Anolis sagrei: one gene and its partners. The protein of the gene in region 1 purifies or fractionates together with the protein of each later gene. This does not show direct contact. Links are inferred from orthologs where the notes say so. Each region holds a gene or a part of one and is shown on either strand. Other genes may lie near its edges.

Evidence for each region.
Region 2: the proteins of SMAD2 (region 1) and KAT2B purify together in Homo sapiens (affinity purification with western blotting, with the first as the bait; 3 studies listed by BioGRID). This does not show direct contact. The link is inferred for Anolis sagrei from reciprocal best matches to the Homo sapiens genes SMAD2 and KAT2B.
Region 3: the proteins of SMAD2 (region 1) and SMARCC1 purify together in Homo sapiens (affinity purification with mass spectrometry; 3 studies listed by BioGRID, with this or other methods). This does not show direct contact. The link is inferred for Anolis sagrei from reciprocal best matches to the Homo sapiens genes SMAD2 and SMARCC1.
Region 4: the proteins of SMAD2 (region 1) and SP1 purify together in Homo sapiens (affinity purification with western blotting; 3 studies listed by BioGRID). This does not show direct contact. The link is inferred for Anolis sagrei from reciprocal best matches to the Homo sapiens genes SMAD2 and SP1.

Annotation. Positions count from the first base shown.
Region 1 is NC_090022.1:289,003,606-289,011,576, reverse strand, and holds the start of SMAD2 (mothers against decapentaplegic homolog 2), read right to left. Parts: upstream 3,135-7,971; 5' UTR 3,011-3,134; intron 1-3,010. UniProt on the Homo sapiens protein: Receptor-regulated SMAD (R-SMAD) that is an intracellular signal transducer and transcriptional modulator activated by TGF-beta (transforming growth factor) and activin type 1 receptor kinases.
Region 2 is NC_090026.1:87,238,345-87,246,135, reverse strand, and holds the start of KAT2B (histone acetyltransferase KAT2B), read left to right. Parts: upstream 1-4,521; 5' UTR 4,522-4,768; coding exon 4,769-5,092; intron 5,093-7,791. UniProt on the Homo sapiens protein: Functions as a histone acetyltransferase (HAT) to promote transcriptional activation. Has significant histone acetyltransferase activity with core histones (H3 and H4), and also with nucleosome core particles.
Region 3 is NC_090026.1:130,811,850-130,819,526, forward strand, and holds the start of SMARCC1 (SWI/SNF complex subunit SMARCC1), read left to right. Parts: upstream 1-4,529; 5' UTR 4,530-4,701; coding exon 4,702-5,085; intron 5,086-7,677. UniProt on the Homo sapiens protein: Involved in transcriptional activation and repression of select genes by chromatin remodeling (alteration of DNA-nucleosome topology).
Region 4 is NC_090022.1:190,697,679-190,705,185, forward strand, and holds the start of SP1 (transcription factor Sp1), read right to left. Parts: upstream 3,419-7,507; 5' UTR 3,251-3,418; coding exon 3,244-3,250; intron 3,009-3,243; exon of another isoform or gene 2,904-3,008; intron 1-2,903. UniProt on the Homo sapiens protein: Transcription factor that can activate or repress transcription in response to physiological and pathological stimuli.

The DNA of each region.
Region 1 (7,971 bases):
GGTTTTTTTTGTTTTTAAGCCACTCATTATGCACAGAGCATTTATATATATAGATTAGTTACCTACCTACCTATCTATATCTTTCTATCTATCCAGTTACCTATCTATCTATCTATATCTTTCTATCTATCCAGCTACCTTTCTATCTAGCTAGCCACTTTTCTACCTAGCTAGCTAGCTACCATTTTATCTAGCCACCTATCTTTCTATCTATCCAGTTATGTTTTATTTTAATGTTATGTTGTTTATTTTATTGCAATTTGTATTGTTATATTGTGATTCTTGTTCAGGCTCGGCCCCATGTAAGCCGCTCTGAGTCCCCATCGGGGAGATGGTGGCGGGGTATAAAGTTTATTATTATTTTTAGTTTCCCATCTATCTATATCTTTCTATCTATCCAGCTACTTTTCTATCTAGCTAGCTAGCTAACTTTCTATCTAGCCACCTATCTTTCTGTCTATCCAGTTATGTTTTATTTAATGTTATGTTGTTTATTTTATTGCAATTTGTATTGTTATATTGTGATTCTTGTTCAGGCTCGGCCCCATGTAAGCCGCTCTGAGTCCCCATCGGATAGATGGTGGCGGGGTATAAAGTTTATTATTATTATTAGTTTCCCATCTATCTATATCTTTCTATCTATCCAGCTACTTTTCTATCTAGCTAGCTAGCTAACTTTCTATCTAGCCACCTATCTTTCTGTCTATCCTGTTATGTTTTATTTTAATGTTATGTTGTTTATTTTATTGCAATTTGTATTGTTATATTGTGATTCTTGTTCAGGCTCGGCCCCATGTAAGCCGCTCTGAGTCCCCATCGGGGAGATGGTGGCGGGGTATAAAGTTTATTATTATTTTTAGTTTCCCATCTATCTATATCTTTCTATCTATCCAGCTACTTTTCTATCTAGCTAGCTAGCTAACTTTCTATCTAGCCACCTATCTTTCTGTCTATCCAGTTATGTTTTATTTTAATGTTATGTTGTTTATTTTATTGCAATTTGTATTGTTATATTGTGATTCTTGTTCAGGCTCGGCCCCATGTAAGCCGCTCTGAGTCCCCATCGGATAGATGGTGGCGGGGTATAAAGTTTATTATTATTATTAGTTTCCCATCTATCTATATCTTTCTATCTATCCAGCTACTTTTCTATCTAGCTAGCTAGCTAACTTTCTATCTAGCCACCTATCTTTCTGTCTATCCTGTTATGTTTTATTTTAATGTTATGTTGTTTATTTTATTGCAATTTGTATTGTTATATTGTGATTCTTGTTCAGGCTCGGCCCCATGTAAGCCGCTCCGAGTCCCCATCGGGGAGATGGTGGCGGGGTATAAAGTTTATTATTATTATTAGTTTCCCATCTATCTATATCTTTCTATCTATCCAGCTACTTTTCTATCTAGCTAGCTAGCTACCTTTCTATCTAGCCACCTATCTTTCTATCTATCCAGTTATGTTTTATTTTAATGTTATGTTGTTTATTTTATTGCAATTTGTATTGTTATATTGTAATTCTTGTTCGGGCTCAGTCCCATGTAAGCCGCTCCGAGTCCCCATCGGGGAGATGGTGGTGGGGTATAAAGTTTATTATTATTATTATTATTATTATTACTAGTTTTCCATCTATCTATCTATTTCTTTCTATCTATCCAGCTACCTTTCTATCTAGCTAGCCAGCTACTGTTCTATCTATCTAGCTAGCTACCTTTCTATCTAGCCACCGATCTATCTATCCAGTTATGTTTTATTTTAATGTTATGTTGTTTATTTTATTGCAATTTGTATTGTTATATTGTAATTCTTGTTCGGGCTCGGTCCCATGTAAGCCGCTCCGAGTCCGCATCGTGGAGATGGTGGCGGGGTAGAAATAAAGTTTATTATTATAAGTTACCTCTCTATCTATCTATATCTTTCTATCTATCCAGCTACCTTTCTATCTATCTAGCCAGCTACTTTATTTTAATCTTATGTTGTTTATTTTATTGCAATTTGTATTGTTATATTGTAATTCTTGTTCGGGCTCGGCCCCATGTAAGCCGCTCCGAGTCCCCGTCAGGGAGATGGTGGCGGGGTATAAATAAAGTTTATTATTATTATTTATTTATTTCGGTTACTTCTATCCCGCCCTTCTCACTACGGAGGGGACTCAGGGTGGCTTACAAAGACACAATTCGATGCCGGCATCACATAACAGTAGTATAAAACAATATGGCAGCAATTAACAGTTAACCAACAGTTCCTGCATTATAACAATAAAACCAATAAAACCAATACAAACCAATTACTCCTCATTAACGGTCAGCGTTTGCCATCTCATAGTCCAATTTCCAATTTCATTTTGTCAGTCCTGTCAGTCCTAGTCATCTGATTGTCCTTATCTAGTTGTCAGATTGCCCAAAGGCCTGGTCCCACAACCATGTCCTTAATTTCCTCCTGAAGGAGAGGAGGGATGTTGATGCCCTAATTTCCCCTGGGAGTGAGTTCCACAGATGAGGGGCCACCACAGAGAAGGCCCTGTTCCTCGTCCCCACCAACCTCACTTGTGATAGTGGTCCAACTTTGGCCCTTCCTCCAGTTAGACGGCGTGGAGACAGACAGAAAGGTAGCTAAAGGGCCTGGAGGGAGGGCCCAAGTAGGCCCATGCCTGATCTCGACAGATATTCTTTTGGGAGGGGTTCTCACTTAAATCAGAATCCATAACTTTGATTGAATCATGCCTATAACTGGCTGTGCAATAACAAAGGCATGCCTTTAGCCTTCAGGTAAGCACTGAGGCTACGGTTGCATGTAAATATGTACCTATTTTGGGGTGTATATGAGGCTGAAGCGCGTTCGGGCCAAGAGAGGCCCTTGGCGGCTCCCCTCCCCCTCTCGCACCACAACAAAGCCCAGGGAGCCTCCCCCTCGCTCGCTCCAGGCCTGAGGCCTACCCCACCCCCGCCAGGCCTCCCAGATGAAGCCCCCTCCCCGCCACCCGCTTCCCCTCGACGCCGCGGCCTCCCTTCTCACCCTCAGCCGCCTCAGAGCCCTCTCTCCTCGCCCCGAGCTGCGCCTCTGCCGCCCTCGCTCTCTTTCTCGCCGTCTTCGCCCCTCACAGCTCCTCCGCCGCCGCCATTGGCCGACCGAAAATATGCCCCGCCCCCTGCTTCTCTTTCGAAGCCCGTGATTGGTCGACGCTTTCGCCCGTCACGATGGAAGCTGCCGCCAGGGGTGGAGTCAACGGCATTCCGTGTCCCCGCCCTCGTCTCGAGCTTCTCCATCGAAGGAGGTGATTGGTCCCTGCGTCCGTCCGTCACGCGGATTGGGTCGGAAGAAGATAAAAGGGGCGGGGCCGGATTATCCCCGCCCTTCCCTCCCCTCCGTCCCCTCTTTCATCTTTTTCTTCGCTGCCATTGGTTGGAAGCCACCAATGAGCGGACGCGTCACGAAGAAGAGCAAAATGTGTTCAGCCCTCGGATTGGTTAACCAGAGAAGCGTCGGATTGGACGCGGCGTGTTTTAGGCCCGCCTCCTTAACCTAGTCTCTCCTTTTTGAGGGAGGAGCAGGGAAGAAGCAAAAATCTTGTTAACTGTGTCCCTCCGCCACTCGGAGTGTATCCTTCCGCCCAGCAATTGTCTCTCGCAAGTGAGAAGAAATAGTCCCAAAGAGAGGGAGGAAGGAAGGAAAGAAAAGAAGGGAAAGGAAGGAAAAAGGGGGGAACGGATGGAGAGAAAGAAGAACGGAAAGGAGGGAAGGGAAAAGGAAGAAAAAGGATGGAAATAAAGATGAAGGGAAAGGAAGAAAGGAAGAAAAAGGATGGAAAGAAAGAAGGGCAAGGAAGGGTGGGAAAAGGAAGAAAAAGGAGGGAAGGATGGAAAGAAAGGAAGAAAGGGGATGGAAAGACAGGGAAAGACAGAAAGGAAAGGAAGGAAAAGGAGGGAAGAAGGGAAAGGAAGATTGGGAAAAGGAGGGAAGGATGGAAAGAAAGGAAGAAAGGGGATAGAAAGTCAGAAGGGAAAGGAAGGAAAAGGAGGAAAGAAGGGAAAGGAAGGATGGGAAAAGGAAGAAAAAGGGGGGAAAGATGGAAAGAAAGGAGAAAGGAAGAAAGGGGATGGAAAGAAAGAAGAAGGGAAAGGAAGGAAAAGGAGGGAAGGGTGGAAAGAAAGAAGAAGGGAAAGGAGAAAGGAAGAAAAAGGATGGAAAGAAAGAAGAAGGGCAAGGAGGGAAGGGAAAAGGAAGAAAAAGGAGGGAAGGATGGAAAGAAAGGGGAGGGAAAGTCAGAAGGGAAAGGAGGAAAGAAGGGAAAGGAAGGATGGGAAAAGAAAAAAACGGGGAAGGGTGGAAAGAAAGGAAGAAGGGATGGAAAGAAAGAAGGAGGGAAAAGGGGGGAAAGAAAGAAGAATGGAAAGGAGGGAAGGGAAAAGGAAGCAAAGGATGGAAAGAAAGAAGAAGGGAAAGGAGAAAGGAAGAAAAAGGAGGGAAGGAGGGAAAGAAAGGAAGAAAGGGGATGGAAAGAAAGAAGAAGGGAAAGGAGGGAAGGATATAAAGAAAGAAAAAGGGAAAGGAAGGATGGGAAAAGGAAGAAAAAGGAGGGAAGGATAGAAAGAAAGAAGATGGGAATGGAAGGAATGGAAAGAAAGAAAAGTAAGGGAAGAATGGAAAGAAAGAAGAAGGGAAAGGAAGGATGGAAAAGGAAGTAAAAGGAGGGAAGGATGGAAAGAAAGAAGAAGGGAAAGGAAGAAAAGAGATGAATGGAAAGAAAGAGGAAGGGAAAAGGAAGAAAAAGGGAAGGAGAGTAATGAGAGTAACGAAATTTCATTACTTTTTACTATATTAATTGTGTAAGTGGGGAAACTTCAAGGGCTACTTTCTCCCTCATTTTTACAGCTATTGGGGTGAAACTTGCTACAGTGGTAGAATACATTTACCACTGTTAGCCCATCAAGCTTCAGAATGTTTCACTTATTCATAGATTTTGCTATCTCCTTGAATTTTCTGTGCAATGACACAAGACTGACCCCCCCCCCCCCCCAAGTTAAAAAATATTCATACATCTACTGATTTGGGGGATTTAAAAAAAAACTTTTGACAAAAACATTTTTTTTAAAAAGTCACAACAGCTATGTTATTGAATGTCTCTCATATTAACCAATAATACTTCCATTTAAGGATTTCTTCCCAGCCCACCACAGAGGTTTACTTACTAGAAGTATCAATAAGTCCTCCTCTTTGAAGATTCAACAATTTATTGGAACTCTGGCTGGCTGCTGCTACGGGGGGGGGGGGGGGGGGGGGGGGCATGTGTTCTATCATCGTAGCAAGTTTTATGCACATAGCCCTAACAATGAGGGAGAAAGGAGCCCCTGAAGTTTCCCCATTAGCACAATTACTTAACGAAAAGTAGTTAACTCGTTATAGTTAAGATGCAGACTCCGTCAAATTTCAGAAACACTTTAGAAACAATTTCCCCCACCCTCTAATTTTTGTAGTGAATACTGAAACTTTTTTCATTGATTGCACAGGCCTAATAAACACTCATAGGTTCCTTCATAGCTTAGTCGCCCTCCTCTGGAATGTGTCCAGAAGACGGCGACTAAAATGATCAAGGGTCTGGAGAACAAGTCCTATGAGGAGCGGCTTAAGGAGCTGGGCATGTTTAGCCTGAAGAAGAGAAGGCTGAGAGGAGATATGATAGCCATGTATAAATATGTGAGAAGAAGCCACAGAGAGGAGGGAGCAAGCTTGTTTTCTGCTGCCCTGGAGACTAGGACGCAATGGAACAATGGCTTCAGACTACAAGAGAGGAGATTCCATCTGAACATGAAGAACTTCCTGACTGTGAGAGCTGTTCAACGGTGGAACTCTCTGCCCCGGAGTGTGGTGGAGGCTCCTTCTTTGGAAGCTTTTAAACAGAGGCTGGATGGCCATCTGTCAGGGGTAATTTGAATGCAATATTCCTGCTTCTTGGCAGGGGGTTGGACTGGATGGCCCATGAGCTCTCTTCCAACTCTTTGATTCTATGATTCAGTGTGACTGGGGAGCTATGGAAATCTTCCATTTAAATCAGCCAGGCAAAGGTTGCATCTACACTGCCATATACTGCAGTATACATAAAGGTAAAGGTATCACCTGACATTTGGTCTAGTCGTGTCAGACACTGGGGGGTGGTGCTCATCTCCATTTCTAAGTCGAAAAGCCAGCGTTGTCCGTAGATGCCTCCAAGGCCATCTGGCCAGCATGACTACATGGAGTGCCGTTACCTTCCTGCAGAAGGTGTCCCTATTGATCTACTCACATTTACATGTTTTTGAATGTATAGGTTGGCAAAACTGGACCTAACAGTGGAGCTCACTTCACTCCCCGGATTCGAACTGCCAACCTTTCAGTCAGCAAGTTCAGCAGCTCAATGATTTAACCTGCTGCACCACCATTATATGTAGACTCATGTAGTTCAATCCAGTGAGGTTAAACTGCATCATATCAGTCTACATACAGTTGGAAACTGCATTGTATGGCAGTGTAGATGGAGCCTCGAAGTGGCAAAGTCATGTTGGATTGTGCTGTTTTATAGGATGATGAGTGAAGGATGATCCACATTAAATTCCACTTCCCACTGACAGTCCTACCCATGCAGAGCTGCCAACGGCCTTGGATATATCACTCCTCGGCCAAGGCTATGCAAGAACGCATGTGCTCATCTGGCAACCTATCTGCCAAATGACAATTTGGCATCACATGCAATCATTAGCAAAATTGTCGAAGCCAAACACTAATCACCGACACAGAAATCTGACCATCTTTTATTAAAAGTGCTACCAATCAGTGTGCCCTTTGTGTGAGTTTGTGTTTGGCTTTGTTCTTATTATCTCTCTGATTTTTATATGAAACTAGCTTAGGTACCCAGCAATGCTCTGGTTAGAGATTTTGTAAGGAGAAACATTAGAAGTAGTAATTGTTTAGTTCTGAATTTTGCGAATGATCCCATTGGAAGATGCATAAGAATGTGGATAAATTACAACTGCCATCATCCTTTGCCATTGCCCCCAAACCTCATCAGTATTTAAAGTTGGTCATGATGGGTACCTGTGTTGTCGAACACAGCACCACAACCCCAGTGATTTATAGCTCTCCAAGGGCACCAGAATGAATAATAATAATTCAACTTTATTTATAGACCACCCTCTCTCCCCAAAATAATAGCGTTAAACTTATAACAAAAGAGGCTAATTGGCATTTAAAATAAGACCAGAATGCAATACTCAAATAAAACGTAATTAAACTATTGCATATTATGCTTGTACATTTTGGCAGCAGCCGTACTTGCCTTCTTTCTGGCCAGATTACTAATAAAAGTCTGTGGCTGTCTTCACCTAGTGAGTGTGTTGTCTGTTCTTCAATCGGGAACAGTCACTGGGCACGGACCTTCCATATATGCGGTCCTAGTCTAAATTCGACCATATGTGTGCCATGTTTGGTCCAGATCCATCATCATTTAGGGTCACAAGGCTTTTTGGATATGAGAGGACTGCAGCTTCCACCATGCTGGGTCAATCACCCCCAACCCCCTTCAGTACTTTCTGTTTGGCCATTGGGTGGGAAGGTCTGTTTGCCAGGTTAAGTACCCTATATACTCAAGTATAAACCGAATTTTTTAGCTCATTTTTAGGCTGAATCCTCCCCCCCCCCCCCTTGGCTTATACTCGAGTCAAAGTTATGTATTATTTTACCCTGTTATTACTATTATTTTGTTATGTTTATTATTTTACTCTGTTATTACATTTACATTATTTTACTCTATCATTTTTAACACATTTCTTATTTAAATTGATTATTATTATTACATTTACATTATTTTACTTCATTATTATTATTATTATTATTACATTTACATTATTTTACTCTATTATTTTTATTACATTTATTATTTTATTCTATTATTATTGGAAGGATACTTAAGCACATTTACATTGAAGAAGGTTACAATCAGAGTT
Region 2 (7,791 bases), on another chromosome or scaffold:
TCTGCTTCAGAACTGGATGTAGTTCTAGGTTTCTTCAAGACTTCTTTCGGTGCCAAACATATTGCTATAAGGGGCACATCTATGCTGACTCTGTGGTAACTTCACACTCAGACCTCACAACCTCTGAGGATGCCTGCCATAGATACAAGCGAAATGTCAGGAGAGAATGCTTCCGAAACATGGCCATACAGCTCAGAAAACTCACAACAACCCAGTGATTCTGGCCATGAAAGCCTTTGACAATACATTTAACTTCACAATGATTCTATGGCAGCTGCATAGTAACTTTGGTGGAAGAGATTCCTTATGGGGCCAGGCTTTGTACTGCAGGTTAAACTGCTAAGCTGCAGAAAATCCTAGGTTGGTAATTCGAGCCCTGGTTGGAGTGAGCTCCCACCCTCAGCCCCAGCTTCTGCTCAACTAGCAGATCAAAAACAGCAATATGAGTAGATAAATAGGTGCCACTTTAAAAGTGGGGAGGTAATAAAAGTCACCCGTAAGGACATGCTGACAATTTGATTGGGAGGACGTCTATGGATGACAAGGCTCCTTGGCATGAAAAATTGAGTGACAGCACACACACACATACACCCGGCTGGAGTCGAGCACAGCCAGATGTCGGAAATGGAAAAAGATGGGAAAGCCTTTACATCTGTTTATATAGTCCGTTCTTGTTAATTGTACAACAGCATTGAATGTTTGCCATATATGTGTTCTGTAATCCACCCTGAGTCCCCTTGGGGAAATAGAGCAGAATATAAATAAAGTATACTATTATTATTTCAATCAGGTTCAATATTATCCACGATTTTCATTTTCCACAGTATAGTACATTTTGGAAACTATCCTCCGCAGATAAGGGAATCATATGGTATAGTGCAAACACAAAAAAGTAATCAAAGTACATAACCATTATCCATCTCCTCATCTCATTTGTAATCGGAACTATTCAAGCGAACTGGCAACAGAGGAAAATTCCTTACCCAGACTGGACCTACACTGCTCTACATCCCAGGGTCTGATCTCAGATTATTTTCTTATCCCTGATTTTCTGGCACTGTAGACTCATACAATCTAGTTCAAATCAGATAATCTGGGATCAGGTCCTGGGATATAGAGAGCAGGACCAGTCTGCTCTCATATCTTTACTTATTCTCAAACTGGCAAGCCAATGCAAAAGAGAGAGAGAGAGAGAGAGCAATACAAATTAACCCTCTACCCTGGACATCTGTTAATATGTTGCCATGGTGCTGACAAGGACCTTAAAACGCATCTGGCTTGGAAGAGAGACCTTATACACTATAGTCAATATCCATGTTACATCATACAATGGTATCCAGTGTGGTTTTATTTCACCTCAAAAATGCCAGAGCCTAAGGATCTGTGAAATGGTCCAAGGCTACTGCAAGGTACGACTAAACATAAGGTGTAGAGCCAATTGGTGTACAGCCAATTAAAGTTTGGTTTTTTGACTTCTTTCTCCAAAATATTTTCAAGCCATTGGTTGAATCTGTGGGTAGCGAACCCATGGATGTGGAGGGTCGAGTGTACTTGCACATTTCCCCTTTATGGCATTAGCTTATAGAGCCACATAAGAATAATTAAATGTCCATTCCACCTTCTGTTTCTTACTGATTAAACTTGCTTGGATTAATTTATGACAGATGTAACAGCAACAATTTACAGAGATTTCAAAATACAGCTGCTACCTTATGAACCATTATTTGCCTTTTTGAACATATTACCTTGGTAGAGCTTAAGGGACTTCGCTGGCAGCTTAGTCTGTTTTCAAGCACAGTTCAAAGTCCTGGTGTTTTCTTTTAAAACTTATTCAGTTTTGAGCCTCGGTACCTGAAGAAAGATTTTGCTCATGTACCAATCATGTGTTGAGGCTGTCTTTGAAGGGCTTCCTGGCATTTGAGATAAGAAAGGTGGAAACCAGAGAGGGGGCTTTTTCACTTTGTGATTTCCTTTCCTCCTATCCATTCATGGAATTTCTTCCCTGGAGATGTGTGCATGGTGGCAGTACTTTTCGTGCCAGGCAAAGTTATTCCTGTTTTTAAATGCTGGGATTTATCACAATTAATCTCGATTTAGTTATCTCCTTAGAAGCATTGCTGAAGAACAGTGTATAGATTTTTAAACAAGCAAATAAGTAGCACAACCGCAGGAACTAGAGAGTGCTTTTATGACTTATGTTCATTGTGAACTAATTCCTACTCAAGAGTGTTATATTTACAATCGGCCCTCTGTATCCACACATTCTTTATCCAGGGAGTCAACCTTCCATGACTTGTAAAAAAAAAAGGGGGGGGGAGTGGGGAGCAAACAGTGGAAATGAAAAGCACAGATTTTTGGTGGACAAATACAGGTGTGTGAAATAAAATGTAACCCTGGAACCAAACTCCAGCACATACATATTTGAAAACAAGAATTATAATAGTAATAATAATAATAATAATAATAATAATAATAATACTTTATTTATATTCTGCTCTATCTCCCCGGAGGGACTCACAGTGGATTACAATATACAGATAGGAAAACATACAATTGAATAATCCCCACCCCCACCCCCGAGGGATACTGAAATGGAAGTTTGTGCCATTCGAATAAACTACCTAGAAATATTAAAGGATTTCTTTCACTCACTTTTCTGGGGAATTTATTGATTGGCCACCACAGTTTGAAACTTGCTTTGAACTGAATTCAATGGTCAGTGTAGATGGGGCCTGTATCATCACTATCCAGGTCTCCAATTGGTTTCAGGATATCCTATGTAATTATTTGTACACTGAAACCACTTTTTTCAATGCTGATTTGAAATTGCATTAAATGGTCAGTACAGATGGGGCCACAAACCACGGAACAGTGATGCACATTAAGGGCTTTCTTTCACACGCTTTTGTGGAAGTTTGTTGTATGTCCATTGCAGTGTGAAGCTAGCTTCGGACTACATTAAACCATCAGTGTAATGGTGCTTAATCAGGTATCGGCAAACTTCAGCCCTCCAGGTGTTTAGGATTTTTCCCCCTCAGAACAATAATTTTCCCTCAAGTTCCTTCATGAGGTCTACTGAAGTGAACATGTTGCCCTCAGAACAATCCCTCAGAAAAGTAGCCCTTTGAGGGCTATTGAAGTGGCAATTTTTGCCCTCAGAATGCATGTAAAGTTGTTTTTTGAGAAGCTCCTGCTGCTCCCTCTGCCACTGTAATCTTTCTCCCTCGAGCCTCTTAGTGAGGGCCACTAAATGGGACATTTTGTCCTCAGAACAGTAATTTTCCCTCAAGGTTCCTTTCTGAGAGCTACTGAAGAAGGTGTTTTTCCCTAAAACTCCCAGAAATAAAGCACTATTTTCTGAGAAGCTCATCTTGCCCTCTGCACCTTTGCAGATGTTTAGCCCTCAGAACAATCCCTCAGAAAAAAAGCCCTTTAAGGGATATGGAAGTGTAGGTTTTGCCCTCAGAAAAGTAGCATGTTGAGGGATGCGGAAGTAGAGGTTTCACCCCAGAAGAGTAGCCCTTTGCGGGATACGAAAATGGAGATTTCACCCTCAGAAAAGATGCTCTTTGGGGGATACAGAAGTGGAGGCTTTGCTCTCAGAAAAGTAGCCCTTTGAGGATACCGAAGTGGAAATTTCACCTCAGAAAACTAATCTTTTAAGGGATATATATATATATATATATTGTCAGGAGCGACCTGAGAAACTACAAGTCGCTTCTGGTATGAGAATTGGCCGTCTGCAAGGACGTTGTCCAGGGGACACCCGGATGATTTGATGTTTTTATCATCCTTGTGGGAGATTTCTCTCATGTCCCCGCATGAGGAGCTGGAGCTGATCCGCCTCTCCCCGGATTCGAACCTGCGACCTGTGGGTCTTCAGTCCTGCCTGCACAGGGGTTTAACCCACTGCACCACCGGGGCCTCTTTTGAGGGATATGGAAGTGGAGGTTTCCCCCTCAGAAAAGTACCCCTTTGAGGGATACAGAAGTTGAGGTTTCGCCCTCAGAAAAGTAGTCCTTCGAAGGGTATGGAAGTGAAGGTTTTACCCTCAGAAAAGTAACCCTTTGGGGGATACAGAATTGCAGGTTTTGCCCTCGGAAAAGTAGCCTTTTGGAAGATATGGAAGTGGAAGCTTCGCCCTCAGAAAAGTAGCCCTTTTAGGGATACGGAAGTGGAGGTTTCACCCTCAGAAAAGTAGTCCTTTGAGGGATATGGAAGTGAAGGCTTCACCCTCAGAAAAGTAACCTCTTGAGCAGGCATGGGCAAACTTCGGTCCTCCGGGTGTTTTGGACTCCAACTCCCACCATTCCTAACAGCCTCAGGCCCTTTCCTTTCCCCCCTCTGCCGCTTAAGCGGGGGAAAAGGAAAGGGCCTGAGGCTGTTAGGAATGGTGGGAGTTGGAGTCCAAAACACCGGAGGGATGTGGAAGCCACTGCGACCCTCCCTCAATCCCTCAGTGACACTCTGAGGGCGCGTCATTGAGGCACCCGGCGAGGGACGCCTCAGTGTGGTGAGTGCCGCCCGCAAGGCGCTCACAACAACAACATGTCGGCCTGCTGGCTGTGCGCGCTGCTGCCTCCTTAGCGGGCGCCTCCTCCTCCTCCTCCTCCTTTCCTGACAGGACCCGCCCGCGGTGTGCGGCCTGTCCCCTCCCTCCCTCCCGAGGGAGCAGCAGGCGGAGGCGCGGCTCCAGCGGGCGCCCGAGCCCGGCCCTCAGCGAGCCTGGCGGCGGCGGCGGCAGCGACTCCCACACCGCAACCCCGCCATGGCTGAGGCTGGCGCGGCCGGGCCGGGGGAGGGCGAGGCGGGGAACAGCAATGGCGGGGCCGGGGCGCTCCAGCAAGGCTCGCCGGCTTCAGCGGGGACGCCCGCTCGAGCTCCGGCCGCCGCGACTCCTCCTGCGCCCGCCGAAACCAGCCCTGCAGCGGGAACAGCAGCGGGAGGAGGAGGGAGCAGCAGCGGGAGCAGCACGGGCGGGACAGGCAGCGGGGGACCCGGCTCGGCTCGCATCGCGGGCAAGAAGGCGCAGCTCCGCTCCGCACCCCGCGCCAAGAAGCTGGAGAAGTTGGGCGTCTATTCCGCCTGCAAGGTAAGCACCGGCCCCGGAATCATCATAAGCCCCAAGACCCGGAGCGGGAGAGGCGAGCGGCGCGCTTCCCCGTGGCAGCCGACAGGGGGCGCCCGCTTGGGTGTCGGCGGAGGATTGAGTGACAGGAGGAGAGGGCAAGGGAGGGGTCGCGCCTGACTCCTTGGATTAAAAGGAGAGGATCAAAACACAGAGAATGACACGCACAATAGAGTGTGGGGTTTTTTCCCACTTGGTGTCTGGCTGGCAACAAGTTTCTCTCTAGAAGCGCAAAGTTGTTGTTGTTACTAATGTTGTTGTATTTACATCCTGTTTCCCTCTCCTAACGAAGCTCAAACAGTATGCGACCTCAGGCCCCATCTGCACTGACCATAGAATACAGCTCAATCTGAATTAGTAGTGAACATGGGACCACAGACTTGGTGCATGGAGTTAGTTTCACTTAATTCGGATTAGGTAAAGTAAGTCCAGTCATGTCTGACTCTGGGGTGTGGTGTTCATCTCCATTTCTAAGCCGAAGAGCCGGCGTTGTCCATAGACACATCCAAGGTCATCTGGCCAGCATGACTGAATGAAGCGCCGTTACCTTCCTGCCGGAGCGGTACCTATTGATCTACTCACATTTGCATGTTTTCGAACTGCTAGGTTGGCAGAAGCTAGGGCTGACAGCAGAAGCTCATGCTGCTCCCTGAAATGGAACCTGTGACCAGGCCGGTAGCCAGGATTTCGATTCGGGGGGAGGGGGGCTGAGTTTGTTTCGGGTGGGGGGGGCTGAGTCTGAGTGAAAGAGGGTCTAGCCTAGCAAACCTTTTGTATCGTTACCCCAATACCCCCATGCATATGGGATATATTGACTATGGTGATCAGATCATGATATGAATAAACAGTTTAAATAATGCACCAGTAAGGCCTTTTCGCAAACCACCATGAGAGTTTTTTTGGGGGGGGGGGGGGCTAAAGCCCCTCAAGCCCCCCCCCCCCCCCCCCCCGCTACATGCCTGCCTGACAGTAAGTCCAGTCATGTCTGGCGCTCGGATGTGGTGCTCATCTCCATTTCTAAGCCGCTGGAGCGGTACCTATTGATCTACTCACATTTGCATGTTTTTGAACTGCTAGGTTGGCAGAAGCTAGGGCTGGCAACGGAAGCTCACGCCGCTCCAGGTGCTTTGGACTTCAACTCCCAGAATTCCTGGCCTCAGCAGCTGAGGCGGAAAAGGAATGGGCCCAAGGCCAGGAATTCTGGGAATTGAAGTTCAAAACACTCAAAGGGCTGAAGTTTGCCCATGCCTGATATAATAGGTATTAAAATAGTTATATCACTGCAATGTTGTAGGTTTTTCGGGGTGTATGGCCATGTTCTAGAAGCATTATCTCCTGACCTTTCGCCTGCATCTGTGGCAAGCACCCTCTGAGGTTGTGAGGTCTCAAACAGCATTAATTGTACAGTGCACATGCATCCTTCCCAATGGTTACCACATATTGGGGGTAACTAATCCGAATTAAGTGAAACTAACTCCATGCACCAAGTCTGTGGTCCCATCTACACAACCTCTGAGGATGCTTGCCACAGATGCAGGTGAAACATCAGGAGAGAATGCTTCTAGAACATGGCCATACAGTCTGGAAAAACCTACAACGATGCAGTGATTCCGGCCATGAAAGGCTTCAACAATACATAGTTATATCAGCTTGAATGTAAAGCTTGGCTTGGAAGCTTTTATCCCTCACAGACAGAAATATCTCTCATCATGTAAGCTAAGTAGAGTCAGCTTTGGTTAGGTCTAGGATGGGAGACCACCAAGGTGAACCTGACAAAACCACTTTGAAGAAAACCCTATGAAAGTTATAGGATCGCCATAAATTGACAGACAGCCTGAAAGTACACACATTTGATCTAGGCAGAATCAGGTGGTAGTTACGTATCAAGAAAAACACTGTATTGTCGAAGGCTTTTGTGACTGGAATCACTGGGTTGTTGTAGGTTTTTTCCGGCTATATGGCCATGGTCTAGAGGCATTCTCTCCTGACGTTTCGCCTGCATCTATGGCAAGCATCCTCAGAGGTAGTGAGAAAAACACTGCCCATGTTTAGTATTAGTCGTGTGTCCCTTGTTACCTATGACTTGCAGCTATCAACCTCTCCCATTCCTCTCCTCACAGAATAACATTGCTCAAACTCTCATTGCCAAATTCCTCTTCCTCCCATGCCTCTCAAACTCAAAGAGTTTCCCAATTTATCCCTTTTAATTCCAAATCTAAGACTTGAGTTCAGTTTCCCCATTTTGCACCCATTTGTGTGACCTATTGCCCCATACTGATTTATTTTATTTATATTTATGTTTATGTTTATTATTATCTCACTTTTATCTCTTGATCAAGACACAAAATTAAAAATACAATTTAAATCCATTGTGTAAAAATATTAAAGTAGGATTAAACATACAAACCAATTAAAATAATTTAAATCACTTAATAACAGCTAAAATATTCATTTTTTTAAAAAAAATGTAAGTGTCCTACCTGATGACCTTGAGCCAATCCACAGTGCCATCCCACCCAGTTTGGTCTCCCTGATTTTCTGCTCCCTGTAAATTTCCCACTGGGTTTCCTTTTTGCACCCTATGTGGCTATCTGTGCTGGTACCTCAGGCATGCCAGGACTACCATGTGACATATGGATTCTTCGCCAGTGTTATTTCTAAAT
Region 3 (7,677 bases), on another chromosome or scaffold:
GGTGAGATGTGTTCCACACTGGGCATGCAGACTCAGCAGCAGAGTAGCATAGCCCAAGGGCAGATGTCTTCACTGGGTCTAGTTATGATCCCCAGGTTGTGCCAGTCAGCTTTCGTATGATATTATTTCTAGCGCCCACTTTTTGCTTGATAGTCAAGCAGTGCTTCTAAGTCAGAGCACATTCCAGGTGAGACCAGGAGACTCCCAGGTGTTTGGGTGTGCTGCAATGCTCCAGTGGGATTCCTTCCTCTGCCCAGTTGAATTAGGCTGATGGGAAGGGTGGGAAAGAATGAGAGCCCAGTGTACTCCCAGGCAATCTGTATTTCACTAGCATTGGAAGGGATCCCCAGAAGACATCTGGACCAACCACCTTCAGCCAGGTAGGAATGCACAGTGAAAGCTCTCCCAGAAGATAGCCATCTAGCCTGAGTTCAAAAACATCCAGAAAGGTTTAATCCCTACAGAACTGTTCAAGTGTAGGTCCTGTTATAAATTTTATAATTTGAACAATTTGTGGATTGAGCTGCAGTAATTATCATTAAAGTGGATATGTTTCTAATTAAGAAAAGGAAATCTGTTGATGTTTGCGATAAACCCCATGGAACAGCTATGGAGTTCCAGGAATCACCGGTAATACAGAAGTGTAAAGGAGAAATGTCCAAAATTTGGATGATATGAAACATACATTATATATACAATTTATATTTTATAGCATATGCACATATATATTATAATACATGTGTATTGCAAGAAACTCTTATAAGAGTTTGGTTTAACCCCCAGTTTGCTAGTAAAACCGACGGTGTCGCAAAAGGATGCATCTCAGAATGTGGAAAGTTTTGATTCACACTTATGGCATCACTCTCCTAGTTTTTCTGGCAAGATTTACCCCAAGGAGGTTTGTCATTTCCTTCCTCACCTTAAGTCTGAGAGAGTGGGATTTACCCAAAGGCAACCAGTAGATTCCCAAGGCTGAGCAGGAACCGGAATCCAGTGCTCAGAACCATTGCGCTAGGCTGGCTTTCTCATGCTGCGTCATGCCAGATATTATTTTATTTGTCACTCACCACTCCTCACTACTTGAGGAAGGCCACAGCAGTTAAAACATCTCACACAGAGAGACAGATACACACACACACATATGAAAGAAAATGATATAAAGACATCCAATAATGATTGGATGTCAATATAAAATTATTGGTTTAATATTGGGTAGGCGTTTTATGAGCATTTAGGGGTGTCCCTTATTTCACAAATAACCTTTCAGAAGGATGCAATTGGGCATTTCTTTCTTATCGTGTCAGGAGCGAACCCAACAGTTGTACTGCATTAAAAACAAAACACAAAATTTGTAAACTTGGTATTCTATTAAATGTCCTTTGACCATAATCTGGCCACTTGGAGTGCCTCTGGTGTTGCTGTGAGAAGGTCCTCCATTGTGCCTGTGGCAGGGCTCAGGTTGCATTGCAGCAGGTGGTCAGTGGTTTGCTCTTCTCCACACTCGCATGTCGTGGATTCCACTTTGTGGCCCCATTTCCGAAGGCTGGCTCTGCATCTCGTGAAACAATATCATACGAAAGCTGACTGGCACAACCTGGTGATCACAACCAGACACAGTGAAGACATCTGCCCTTGCGCTGTGCTACTCTGCTGCTGAGTACGCATGCCCAGTGTGGAACACATCTCACCACGCTAGAACAGTGGGTGTGGCTCTTAATGAGACATGCCGCATTATCATGTGGTGTCTGCGCCCCACACGACTGGAGAAATTATACTGTTTAGGTGGTTTTGCAACACCTGACATCTGCCGGGAAGTAGCAGCCAATAGTGAAAGGACCAAGGCAGCTCATTCCTTGTTTGGGTATCAGCCAGCATGTCGACGACTTAAATCTAGACATAGTTTTCTTAGATCTACAGAGACACTCGCTGGAACACCCCAGCAAGCAAAAGTCATAGAATCATAGAATCAAAGAGTTGGAAGAGACCTCATGGGCCATCCAGTCCAACCCCATTATGCCAAGAAGCAGGAATATTGCATTCAAATCACACCTGACAGATGGCCATCCAGCCTCTGCTTAAAAGCTTCCAAAGAAGGAGCCTCCACCACACTCCGGGGCAGAGAGTTCCACTGCTGAACGGCTCTCACAGTCAGGAAGTTCTTCCTCATGTTCAGATGGAATCTCCTCTCTTGTAGTTTGAAGCCCTTGCTCCATTGTGTCCTAGTCTCCATGGAAGCAGAAAACAAGCTTGCTCCCTCCTCCCTGTGGCTTCCTCTCACATATTTATACATGGCTATCATATCTCCTCTCAGCCTTCTCTTCTTCAGGCTAAACATGCCCAGCTCCTTAAGCCGCTCCTCATAGGGCTTGTTCTCCAGACCCTTGATCATTTTAGTCGCCCTCCTCTGGACACATTCCAGCTTGTCAATATCTCTCTTGAATTGTGGTGCCCAGAATTGGACACAATATTCCAGGTGTGGTCTAACCAAAGCAGAATAGAGCATGGGGAGCATTACTTCCCTAGATCTAGACACTATGCTCCTCTTGATGCAGGCCAAAATCCCATTGCCTTTTTTTGCCGCCACATCACACTGTTGGCTCATGTTTAACTTGTTGTCCACGAGGATTCCAAGATCTTTTTCACACGTACTGCTCTCGAGCCAGGCATCACCCATTCTGTATCTTTGCATTTCATTTTTTCTGCCAAAGTGGAGTATCTTGCATTTGTCACTGTTGAACTTCATTTTGTTAGTTTTGTCCCATCTCTCTAATCTGTCAAGATCGTTTTGAATTCTGCTCCTGTCCTCTGGACTATTGGCTATCCCTCCCAAGTCCAAAAGTGGCAGGCCCAAACCCAGCACCTCAACCAATGGCTGATCCCAAATGAGAGACTCCCCCTTCCTGGGCACACTGAGGACTGGGCGACCTGGAAGGCACTGAACAGACTGCGCTCTGGCACCACAAGATGCAGAGCCAACCTTCAGAAATGGGGCCACAAAGTGGAATCCTCGATATGCGAGTGTGGAGAGGAGCAAACCACTGACCACCTGCTGCAATGCACCCTGAGCCCTGCCACATGCACAATGGAGGACCTTCTTGAGGCAACACCAGAGGCACTCCAAGGGGCCAGAGACTGGTCAAAAGACATTAAATCAACTACCAAACTCGCAAATTTTGTATTTTGTCTGTTTGCTTTGTTCTGTTAGAAATGTAATATAATGGACTGGCTGCCCTGACACGAAATAAATAAATCACTACTATTTGCGTTATTGTTCACTATTATATCACTATTATATGCACTATTGTTCACTATTATATCACTATTGTTCTTTGACTAGGTTGTCTCTTATTTTGTATGTATATATATGTATGTATGTATCTCAATCTCCCTATAGAGACACCTGTGAGAGTCTTCTCCTCCTTCTGCCTTTTTGGTCCTCCTCCTCCTCCTCCTTCAGGCCTGCCTTTTTCCCGCCAAATGTGTCCTGGACAGGTCAAGCGGAAATGTCCACTCTGGGTCACTTCCTGTGCGGCCACTCCTTCCGCCGCGCCCGCCTTGCTCTCGTCTCCTCTCCGGGGAAAGACACAAAAGCGACCCTCTCGGTGGCCCTCTCTCCCTCACAACCAGGCCTTCCCCGCTTGGCTTCCCCTCGCGCATGCGCGGATGGAGGAGAGAGAGCCACACAAAGGCGAGGGGAGGGGTTGATACGCATGCGCGAGCGAGGCCCAGCACACTAAAACTCCCGATGTTAAGTACGCATGCGCGAGCGAGGCTCAGAGTACGAAAAAAAGTGCAGGCGATGTCGTGTACGCATGCGCGAGTGAGGCCCAAAACAAAAAATAATCTGGTGGTGTTGAGTACGCATGCGCAAGCGAGTCCCAGCGAACAAAAAAAAGTGCTGGAGATATTGTGTACGCATGCGCGATTGAGACCCAAAACACAATAAAGTCTGGCGATGTTGAGCACGCATGCGCGAATGAGGCTCAGAAAGAAAAAAAAGTATCGATGTTGTGTACGCATGCGCGAGTGAGGCCCATAAAGAAAAAAATGTGCTGATAATGTTGTATACGCATGCGCCAGTGAGGCCCAGAAGAAAAAAAGTATCGATGTTGTGTACGCATGCGTGAGCGAGGCCTAGAAAGGAAAAAAAATGCTCTGCTGATTTTGTGTACGCATGCGCCAGTGAGACCCAGAAAGAAAAAAAGTGTCCATGTTGTGTACGCATGCGTCAGTGAGACCTAGCAAGAAAGAAAAAGTATCGATGTTGTGTACGCATGCGCGAGCGATGCCTAGAAAGAAAAAAAATGCTGTGCTGATGTTGTATACGCATGCGTGAGTGAGGCCCAGAAGGAAAAAAAAGTGTCCATGTTGTGTACGCATGCGCGAGCGAAGCGAAAGCCTTACAAAGAAAAGAGCTTTGGTGGTCTTGTGCAGGCATGCGCAGGAGAGAAAGACTCTCCTCCCTGTCTGCGCATGCGCCCCTGTTGCGTAGGGGAAAGCCGGCGTGGGAGGGGAAGGCGGAGGCGCGTCGCGAGCGCTCGGCGCCTTGAGGGGAGGGAGGGAGCGCGAGGTCGGACTGCGCGTGCGCGCGGGGCGAGAGAGAGAGAGCGAGCGAGAGATTGAGCGAGAGAGAGAGAGAGAGAGGGTGGCGGCGGCGTGGGAGGCAGGCGCGGCGGCGTCTCCTTCCCGCGGGCTCTGCGCATGCGCGGGGCCGGGAGAGAGGGAGGCGAAGGGCCCCGGCTGAGGCGGCGGTGGCGGCGGCGCAGGAGGCCGCGCGGGAGGCCCGGAAGGACCATGGCGGCCCACACCACGGCCACCGCCAACACCAACCCCACCCCCTCGGGCCAGCCAGGCTCAGCGGCAGGAGGAGGCGGAGGAGGGAGCGGAGTAGGCCCCGCTGAGGGCCCGCCCGCCTCAGGCCTCTCCTCGGCCTCCTCAGCCTCCTCGTCGTCGTCCTCCTCCTCGGGCCCTCCCGCCGTGTCGCGGCGCAAGGACGGAGGCCCCGCGGGGAAGTTCTGGGAGAGCTCCGACACCGCCGCCCAGCTCGACGCCGCACGACTCTGGCTTGGGAAGCACTGCAAGAAGGTGAGGCCTTCCTTTGTCCCCCAACTTGGGCCTTTGGACTCCAACTCCCAACATTCCTCACAGCCTCAGGACCCTTCCTTTTCCCCCTCAGACGCTTAAGCGGCTGAGGGGGGAAAGGAAAGGGCCTGAGGCTGCGAGGAATGGTGGGAGTTGGAGTCCAAAGCCCCTGAGGCGTGGCCTAGCATTATTTCTGTACCTTAGTGTCATTAATTTGGTTCCCTTTGTGTCCCTTTGAGGCTGAGAAAGTGTCACTTGGTATGTGTATGTGGGGTAGGCTTCCTTTATTTCTTTGTTTACATCTCTGACTCCTTAATTTGGTTCCCTTTGTGTCCCTCTGAGGCTGAGAGAGTGTCACTTGATATGTGTGTGGGAGGGGAAGGCTTCCTTTATTTGTTTGTTTACATTTATATGCTGGCGAAGGGGACTCAGAGTGGCTTACAAGTCATATTGGACATAAAGCATACTATATTATTTTTAAACATTCATAGAATCATAGACTCAAAGAGTTGGAAGAGACCTCGTGGGCCATCCAGTCCAACCCCATTCTGCCAAAAAAGCAGGAATATTGCATTCAAAGCACCCCTGACAGGTGGCCATCCAGCCTCTGTTTAAAAGCTTCCAAGGAAGGAGCTAGACACTATACATCTATTTATAGTGAGGAATTGTGGGAATTGGAGTCCAAAGCCCCTGAGGCCTGGTCTAGCGTTAATTCTGTGCCTTAGTGTCATTTCTGACTCATTAATTTGGTTCCATTTGTGTCCCTTTGAGGCTGAGAGAGTGTCACTTGGTATGTGTATGTGGGGAAGGCTTCCTTTGTTTGTTTTCGACATTTATATCCTGGCGAAGGGGATTCAGAGTGGTTTACAAGTCATATAGACATAAGACATACTATAGTATTATTATTAAACATACTATATATTCTTTTCTGTCTCCCTCAGGGTGAGGGAGTGTCACTTGTATGTGTGGGGAAAGGCTTCCTTTGTGTCTCTCTGAGGCTGAGAGAGTGTCACTTGATATATGTGTGTGTGAGAGAGAGAGGGGGGAAGGCTTCCTTTCTGTCCCTCTGAAGCTGAGAGAGTGTCACTTATACGTGGGGAAAGGCTTCCTTTGTATCTCTCTGAGGTTGAGAGAGTGTCACTTGTGTGAGTTAGGAAAGCCCCCTTAGTGTCCCTCTGAGGTTGAGAGATTGTCAATTGATGTGTGTGTGCCTTCAGATCCTTTCTCTTCTGTGGCCAGCCTAGAGCAGGGTTTTCTTGAACCAGTTGAATCTTTTGTGTCTCTCTTAGGCTGAGAGAGTGTCAATTCTGTGTGTGTGAGAGAGGAAGGCTCCTTTTGTGTCCCTCTAAGCCTGAGAGAGTGCCACTTCTATGTGTTATGAAGGTTCCCTTGGTGTCCCACTGAGGCTGAGAGAGTGTCACTTGTGTGTGAGGGGGAAGGCACCCTTTGTGTCCCTCTTAAGCTGAGAGAGTGTCACTTGATATGTGTGTGTGGGGAAGGTTGTCTTTGTGTTCCTCTGAGGCCGAGAGACTGTCACTTGATGTGTGTGTGTGTGAGGAGGGCTACTTTTGTGTCCCTCTTAGAATGAGAGAGTGTCACTTGATATGTGTGTGTGTGTGGGGGGGGGGGAGTTTCCATTGTGTCACTCTGAGGCTGAGAGAGTGTCACTTAATATGAGTGTGCCTTCAGGTCATTTCTCTAGCAAGCCTAGAGTAGGGTTTTCTTGAACCAATTGAGTCTTTTGTGTCACTCTTAGGCTGAGAGAGTGTCACTTGATATGTGTGTCAGGAAGGCTCCCATTGTGTCCCTCTGAGGCTGAGAGAGTGTCACTTGATATGTGTGTCAGGAAGGCTCCCTTTTTGTCCCTTTGAGGCTGAGAGAGTGTCACTTGATATATGTGTGTGGCGAAGGTTGCTTTTGTGTCCCTCTGAGGATGAGAGAGTGCCACTTCATGTCACAGGGAGGAGGGAGCAGGCTTCCTTTCTGCTTCCCAGGAGACTAAGATGCAATGGAAGAATGGCTTCAAACTACAAGAAAGGAGATTCCATCTGAACATGAGGAAGAACTTCCTGACTGTGAGATCCGTGCAGCAGTGTGTGGTGGAGGCTCCTTCTTTGGAGGATTTTAAACAGAGGCTGGATGGCCATCTGCCAGGGGTGCTTTGAATGCAATATTCCTGCCTCTTGGCAGAATGGGGTTGGATGGCCCATGAGGTCTCTTCCAACTCTAGGATTCTATGATTCTATGTATGCCTGGGGAAGGCTCCCTTTGTGTCCCTCTTAAGCTGAGAGAGTGTCATTTGATATGTGTGTGTGAGGAAGGATCCCTTTTTGTCCCTCTTAGGCTGAGAGAGTGTCACTTGATATGTGTGTGCCTTCAGGTCATTACTCTTCTGTGGCAAGCCTAGAGCATGGTTTTTTCTTGAACCAATTGATTCTTTTGTGTCCCTCTGAGGCTGAGAGAGTGTCACTTGATATCTGTGTGTGGGGAAGGCTCTCTTTGTATCACTCTTATGCTGAGAGTCACTTGATATGTGTGTGGGGGGAGAGGCTTCCTTTCTTTCCCTCTGAGGCTGAGAGAGTGTCACTTGATATC
Region 4 (7,507 bases), about 98 Mb from region 1:
GCTCTCTAATCTGGATCTAGTCAAAGTTAGGCTTTCTGAGTACCCTTGTGCCTTTTCACAAATGGAAATGAACAAGGGAGATATTATTGCCCATTTTTAACCTTTCTCCCAGAATCATGTTTTTCACTGTTGTTTCAATAAAACCTCAGGGTGTTGTTTTTTCCTCTTAAAGGACAGTGGAACACCACATAAATACCCAGAAAGCCCCACACAACGTGCACTCAGAATAACACAATTGCAAAAATTGTAATAATTGTACAGTGGCATAGGGGCATGTAGGCTTTTGACTTTCAGCTGGCCTCAAAGAGAGCAGAAACACCAGCAAAGGCTTAACAAAGCTTGGTGAACACTATGATTGTTAAGATCTTCTCAACAGACTGTCCAAAGTAAGGGCCCTTCCAGAGAGGCCCTAGATCCCAGGATCTGATCCCAGGTATTCTGTTTACTCCAGATTATCTGGCACTGCAGACTGATAGGTCCCTTCCACACAGGACTATATCCCAGAATATCAAGGCAGAAAATATCGCAATATCTGCTTTAAACTGAGTTATCTGAGTCCATGCTCAGATAATGTGGGATTTTCTGCCTTGATATTCTGGGATATAGGGCTGTGTGGAAGGGACCATATAATCCAGTTTAAAGCAGAAACCTGAGATCAGATCCTCGGATATAGGGTCTGTCTGGAAGGGCCCTAAGTTAGGCTGCACTAGAAAAATAATGCAGTTTGACACCATTTTAAGTGACAGAGAACAATGCTATTGAATCATGGGATTTGTAGTTTGGTGAGGCATAGAAGGTAATCTGGGCAAAGAAGGTTCAAGGTCTTGTTCAAATAACCCCTAGACATTGAGCCATGGCAGTTAAAGTGGCATCAAACTGCATTAATTCTACAGCATAAATGCACCCCAGGAGAAAGGATAGCTCTGTTTTATGCGTGTGAGGAAACACACAGATAAGGCCAAAGGGCGGAAGCGAGGCCTGGGAAAACCCCCAAGTGCATGTCACATTTCGTTTCCAAGGGCCCTTCCACATAGTCATATGACCCAGAATATCAAGGCAGAAAATCCCACAATATCTGTTTTGAACAGGGTTATATGGGTCCACACAATACTGCAGTTCAAATCACATAATGCTGGATTTTATTCACCTGTGTGGAAGGAGCCTCAGGGCCCTTCCACACAGCCATATAACCCAGAATATCAAGGCAGAAAACCCCACAATATCTGCTGTGAACTGGGTTATCTGAGCTCACACTGCCATATATCTCAGTTAAAAGCAGAAAATGTGGGATTTTATTCAGATGTGGAAGAGGCCTCAGACTGTCTGGCAACATATATCTGATTCCTACAGACAGAAGAAGCCTAAGGGCCCTTCCAGACAGGCCCTATATAGCAGGATCTGACCCCAGGTTTTCTGTTTATCCCAGATTATCTGGTCGTGGGGACTCATATAATCCAGTTTAAACCAGAAAACCTGGGATCAGATACTGGGATATGGGGCCTGCCTGGAAGGTCCCTAAAAAGGACACAGTGGACGGTTGGTGGGCTCTTGCATTTTAGGATCTGAGTTTCCTTCCAGTCCCTAGTTGTCCTCAGCGAGGCATTGGGAAGAAGCCCACTCCCCTCCCACAAGGCCTGGACTTTGAGCCCAGCCCCTCATTCCAGTTGAGGCCCTTCCACACAGCCCTTTATCCTGTAATATCAAAGCATAAAATCCAACAATATCTGCTTTGAACTGGGTTACCTGAACCCACACTGCCATATATTCCAATTCAAAGCAGATAATGGGGGATTTTCTGCCTTGATATTCTGGGATATAGGGCTGTGTGGAAGGGCCCTGAGCCGAAACTGTGGAACTGTAAAGCAGTGGCACAATGGGTTAAACCAGGGGTCCTCAAACTAAGACCCGAGGGCCAGATACGGCCTTCCAAGGTCAATTACCTGGCCCTCGCTCAGGGTCAACCTGAAACCTTGAAAGCACACAACAACAATCCTATCTCATCAGCCAAATGCAGGTCCACATTTCCTATTGAAATACTAATAAATTTATATTTGTTAAAACTGTTCTTCATTTAATTATTGTATTGTTTTTAAGCATTGTTGCACTACAAATAAGATATGTATAATGTGCATAGGAATTCATATTTTTTCAAATTATAATCTGGCCCTCCAACAGTTTGAGGGATTGTGACCTGGCCCTCTGTTTACATAGTTTGAAGACCCCTGGGTTAAACTAGCACTCTGTTTAAAAACTTTGCGGACCCCTGGGTCAAACCCTTGTGCCGCCAGGACTGAAGACCTACAGGTCGGAGGTTCGAATCCGGGGTGAGCGCGGATGAGCTCCCTCTGTCAGCTCCAGCGCCCCATGCGGGGACATGAGAGAAGCCTCCCACAAGGATGGTAAAACATCCAAACATCCAGGCGTCCCTTGGGCAACATCCTCGCAGACGGCCAATTCTCTCACACCAGAAGCAACTTGCAGTTTCTCAAGTCGCTCCTAACACGAAGAAAAACCCACTTTAAGCCGCCCGTTTCGCAGTTTGGTGAGGCGCCAACCAACAGCCAAGGCAAGGCTTTTGAGGCCTTGTCAAAGGGACACCTCGGAGGAATCCGCAGCACGGAGACGAAACGGCGGTTTAAAATGGCGCCAGGACGGTTTTAAACTCAGATAGAGGCCTACTCTGTAGTGTTTTTTAACCCCCCCCCCCGAAGGCCTTGCCTCTGAGGCTGAGAGAGTGTGACTTCTTCCCAAGCGGGGATCCGAGTCCTGGCGCCCACAAAAAAGGCGCACTCTGCACGTGCTCAGGGGCACTCTGGTGAAAGGCGGCAGCGGGGGGGGGGGGGTTCCATTTAACCCCTGGGTGGGTGGGTGGGTAGTTAAGCCAGCAACACGGAAATACTAACCTCTAACGAAGGTTAACTACACAGAAGTAGTAGGAGAAGGTAGGGACGGCCTTCCTTTTCCTGAGAGACATTCCCACCCGGAACCCTCTCTTCCGGCCTCCTCCTCGTCCTCCTCCCCTCCCAAGAAGCCCCTTCTCCTCCTCCTCTTCCTCCTCCTCCTGGGGCCCCTCCCCGCCACAGGTTGGCCCTGCCAATGCCGTCCCCTCCCCTCGCTTCGCTTCCCCTCCCCTCCCCTCCCCTCCCCTCCCTGGGGGGCTGGGCCAGAGCGCGAGGGAAGGCCGGCGGGAAGCACGCAGGCGGCGCCCCCCTCTCGGCCCGGCCCAAATAGTCCCGTCCTTACCGCTCATGTTGGCCGAGGCGAAGAAGTAGGCGAGCCCAAGCGGCGCCGGAGGGGTGTCCTGGGCGGGGGCAGCGGAGTTTGTGGGACGCGGCTAAGCCTAACCCCCACCGGTGACCGCCAAAGGCCTGCTGAGGGGAGGGAGCTGTGCCCACACAGCCCCCAAGGCCAAGCGCCACGCCTCCCGCCTCTCTCCTCCAATCACAGGCCTCTCTGGGCGTGGCTAGGGATGACTGGCGCCTCGCACAGCCAGTCGCGGAATTACAAAAAAAAAAGAAGGCGTGTGGAAAATGCGGGGAGGGGGGGTGGAAGGGGGAGCAGTTTACCAAAAGCTCTCCTTTCGGGAAACGCCTTTCGAAAGAAGCCCCACCCAAGTGTGGGAGGCGGGGCTTGGAGAGTGTTTGGGAACTGGGAAGTGATGTCGCAACCGACCAATCGGCGACCGCGTCGGGTAGCCCTGTCACGAACTCGTCCGACTCAACTGCCTGGCGTCCAATCAAGAGACGAGGCCTTTCCGTCATGGAGAGGAAGGCGGGGACTGACAGGACGATTAGCCAATCGGCATCACGAGCGTTTCAGAGCGAAGGATTGAGCAGCCAGAGAGCAGCAAGGAGAGAGGAGGCGGAAACAGTGCCTGCTCCAATGAGGATCGAGGATGGCCTTGAATTATCCAATGGGAATGGCTGCTCATTTGGGCCATTGGAACAGGGTGACGGGCGTTGGCGCCATTTTAGCTCGGGCCTACTCCACCCCCCTTCCTCCATTTGACGAAGGGATTATGCAACCAGAACTGACGTCGGTCGTTTTTCCTCCCTTGAGGCTCGTTGGAGAAATGCTCACTTCCGGTCATAATGTAAGAGGCGCCGCTGAGGTGGCTTCCTTCGTGTGCCACGACGCCCCCCCCCCTCCACACCATAATCAGTGGGTGCTCAAGACCTTCTATATGTGTGTGAATATATACACAGTGGTGCAACTGTTTGGTCTGCCCCTGACACGATAAATAAATAGTGTAGTGAAATTGACTCCCATGTATAGAAGGGCCAAATCAGCTTTTGCTTTTGAGAGTGACATCCTGGATTATTTGTAAGCAGTGGATGGTGGAGTCTGTGGATACGGAGACCTGTCTATACCTTGTCGAATTAGTGCAGTTTGACATCACGTAATAATGGCTACGTCTCGATCCTATGAAATCATGGGAATTGTAATTTGAGGCCTACTCAGCCCTCTTTGGCACAGAAGGCGAAAGACCTTGTAAAACTATAACTCCTATGGTTTCATAGCATTGAGCTGTGGAAGTGGATCAAACTACATTATTTCTAGAGTTAACGCCGGCAAATGGAGGGAGGTAGATATAATTAGCTTGTTTATAAAGCTATTGTCCTCCCAACCCTGCTATACGCCTGTGAAACGTGGACAGTCTACAGACGTCACATGCAACTCCTGGAATTATTCCATCAGCACGGCCTCCAAAAAATCCTGCAAATCTCTTAGGAAGACAAGCGGACAGCGTGCTGGAAGAAGCAAAGACCACCAGCACTGAAGCGATGGTCCTCTGCCATCAACTCAGCTGGACCGGCCACGTTGTCCGGATGCCCGACCACCGTCTCCCAAAGCCGTTGTTCTACTCCGAACTCAAGAACGGAAAACAGAATGTTGGAGGATAGGAAAAGAGATTTAAAGACGGGCTCAAATCCAACTTTAAAAACTCTGGCATAGACACTGAGAACTGGGAAGCCCTGGCTCTTGAGTGCTCCAGTTGGAGGTCAGCTGTGACCAGCAGTGCTGTAGAATTTGAAGAGGCACGAATGGAGGGGGAAAGAAAGAAACGTGCCAAGAGGAAGGCACGTCAAGCCAACCCCAACGGGGGCCACCTCCCACCTGGAAACCAATGCCCTCACTGTGGGAGAAGATGCAGATCAAGAATAGGGCTCCACAGTCACCTACAGACCCAGAACACCGAGCTTGGAAGACCATCATCCTCGGACTACGAGGGATCGGCTGAGTAAGTAAGATATAATTAGGCTTTCCTTCGTTTGTTTTCAGAGCATTCCATGGGATTTTAAAGACAAATACAAGATGAGAACATCGCTTTGACTAGGAGCAAAGAGATCCTAGTCAAATCTCTTTGACTAGGAGATTGCATGTGATCAAAGATCCCACTCAAGGTCACACTGAAGTCCAGAATGCCTTGAATTGGTCCACTCAGGCGTATTACAGTGAAGGGCCCAAAGACATTGACACCAAAATACAACATCGTCTTAGCTCTGCAAGTGCAGCACTTTCTCAAATGAAGCAGAGAGTGTTCGAGGACCAGGACATCCGTAGGCAGACCAAGGTGTTTGTTTATAAACCTATTGTCCTCCCAACCCTGTTATATGCCTGCAAAATGAGACGTCTACCAATATTATACTCGACTCCTGGAATGATTCCATCAGTGTTGCCTCCAAAAAAAATCCTGCAAATCTCTTCAGAAGACACGTGGACAAATGTCAGCATGCTGGAAGAAGCAAAGACCACCAGCATTGAAGCAATAATCTGCTGCCATCAACTCCACTGGACTGGCCATGTTGTCTGAACACACGATCACCATCTCCCAAAGTTACTATACTCCCAACTGAAGAACAGAAAATGGAAGGTTCGTGGACAGGAAAAGAGATTTAAAGATGGGCTTAAAGCAAACCTTAAAAACTGTGGCATAGACACTGAGAACTGGGAAGCCCTGGCCCTTCTCTAACTGGAGGTCAGCTGTGAGTAACAGTGCTATGAAATTCAAAGAGGCACGAATGGAGGGCAAAAGGGAGAAATGTGTCAAAAGGAAGGCATGTCAAAAGGAAGGCATGGGTCGTCTCTCTGGGATGGGCCTTGGGGGCACGGTTCTGTCGTGGCTCCAGTCCTTCCTGGAGGGACGAACTCAGATGGTGAAGCTGGGTGACGCCTGCTCGGACCCCTGGCCTTTGACCTGTGGGGTCCCGCAAGGCTCTATTCTGTCTCCCATGCTCTTCAACATCTACATGAAACCGCTGGGAGAGGTCATCCGGGGTTTTGGAGTTGGGTGCCATCTCTACGCAGATGACACACAACTCTACTACTCCTTTCCACCTAACTCCAAGGAGGCTTCCCAGGTGCTAGACAAGTGCCTGGCCGCTGTGTCGATCTGGATGAGGAAGAACAAGCTGAAGATCAATCCCGATAAGACAGAGGTCCTCTTGGTCGATCGTAAGCCGGATCGGGGTATAGGGTGGTTACCTGTGTTGGACGGGGTTACACTCCCCCTGAAACCTCAGGTCCGCAGTTTGGGTGTCCTCCTGGATTCTTCGCTTACACTTGAGGCTCAGGTGTCGGCGGTATCCGGGAGGGCTTTTGCGCAACTGAGACTCGTGCGCCAACTGCGACCATACCTCGTGAAGGCTGATCTGGCCGGGGTGGTCCATGCCTTGGTCACCTCTAGAATGGACTACTGCAATGCGCTCTACGTGGGGCTACCCTTGAAGACGGCTCGGAAACTGCAGCTGGTCCAACGTGCAGCAGCCAGAATGCTAACTGGAGCTCATTATCAAGAGAGGTCTACCCCTCTGTTCAAGGAGCTCCACTGGCTGCCTTTCATCTTCCGAGCCCAATTCAAGGTGCAGGTGCTCACCTATAAAGCCCTAAACGGTTTGGGACCACCCTACCTGCGTGACCGTATCTCCATCTACGAACCTACACGCTCGCTTCGATCATCTGGGGAGGCCCTGCTCGTGATCCCGCCTACGTCGCAAGCGCGTTTGGTGGGGACGCGGGACAGGGCCTTCTCCGTAGCGGCCCCCCGACTCTGGAACGCCCTCCCAAAAGATCTCCGACAGGCCCCTACACTAGCAGTTTTCAGAAGGAACCTGAAAACTTGGCTGTTCCGTTGTGCCTTCCCGGATTAGGAACCCCCATCCCAAGTCCTAATAGCACTTTAGCACAGTTAATATTGCTGCACACCGTACTTTAATCCCGACGCCCCTCCTACCATTTCAGCACTTTTAACCTTGTACCTCTCACCGGCCGAACCAGTTTTTAATATGTCCTGATGTATAGTTACTGTTGTATTGCTAATTTTGATTTGATTTGTTTTTGCTTTTTAATTTGCTTTGTTTATTGTTTGTTATGTTTTCTATTGTATTGTGTTTGTGGCTTCGGCCTGTGTAAGCCGCATCGAGTCCTTCGGGAGATGCTCGCGGGGTACAAATAAAGTTAATAATAATAATAATAATAATAATAATAATAACAACCCTAGTCAGAA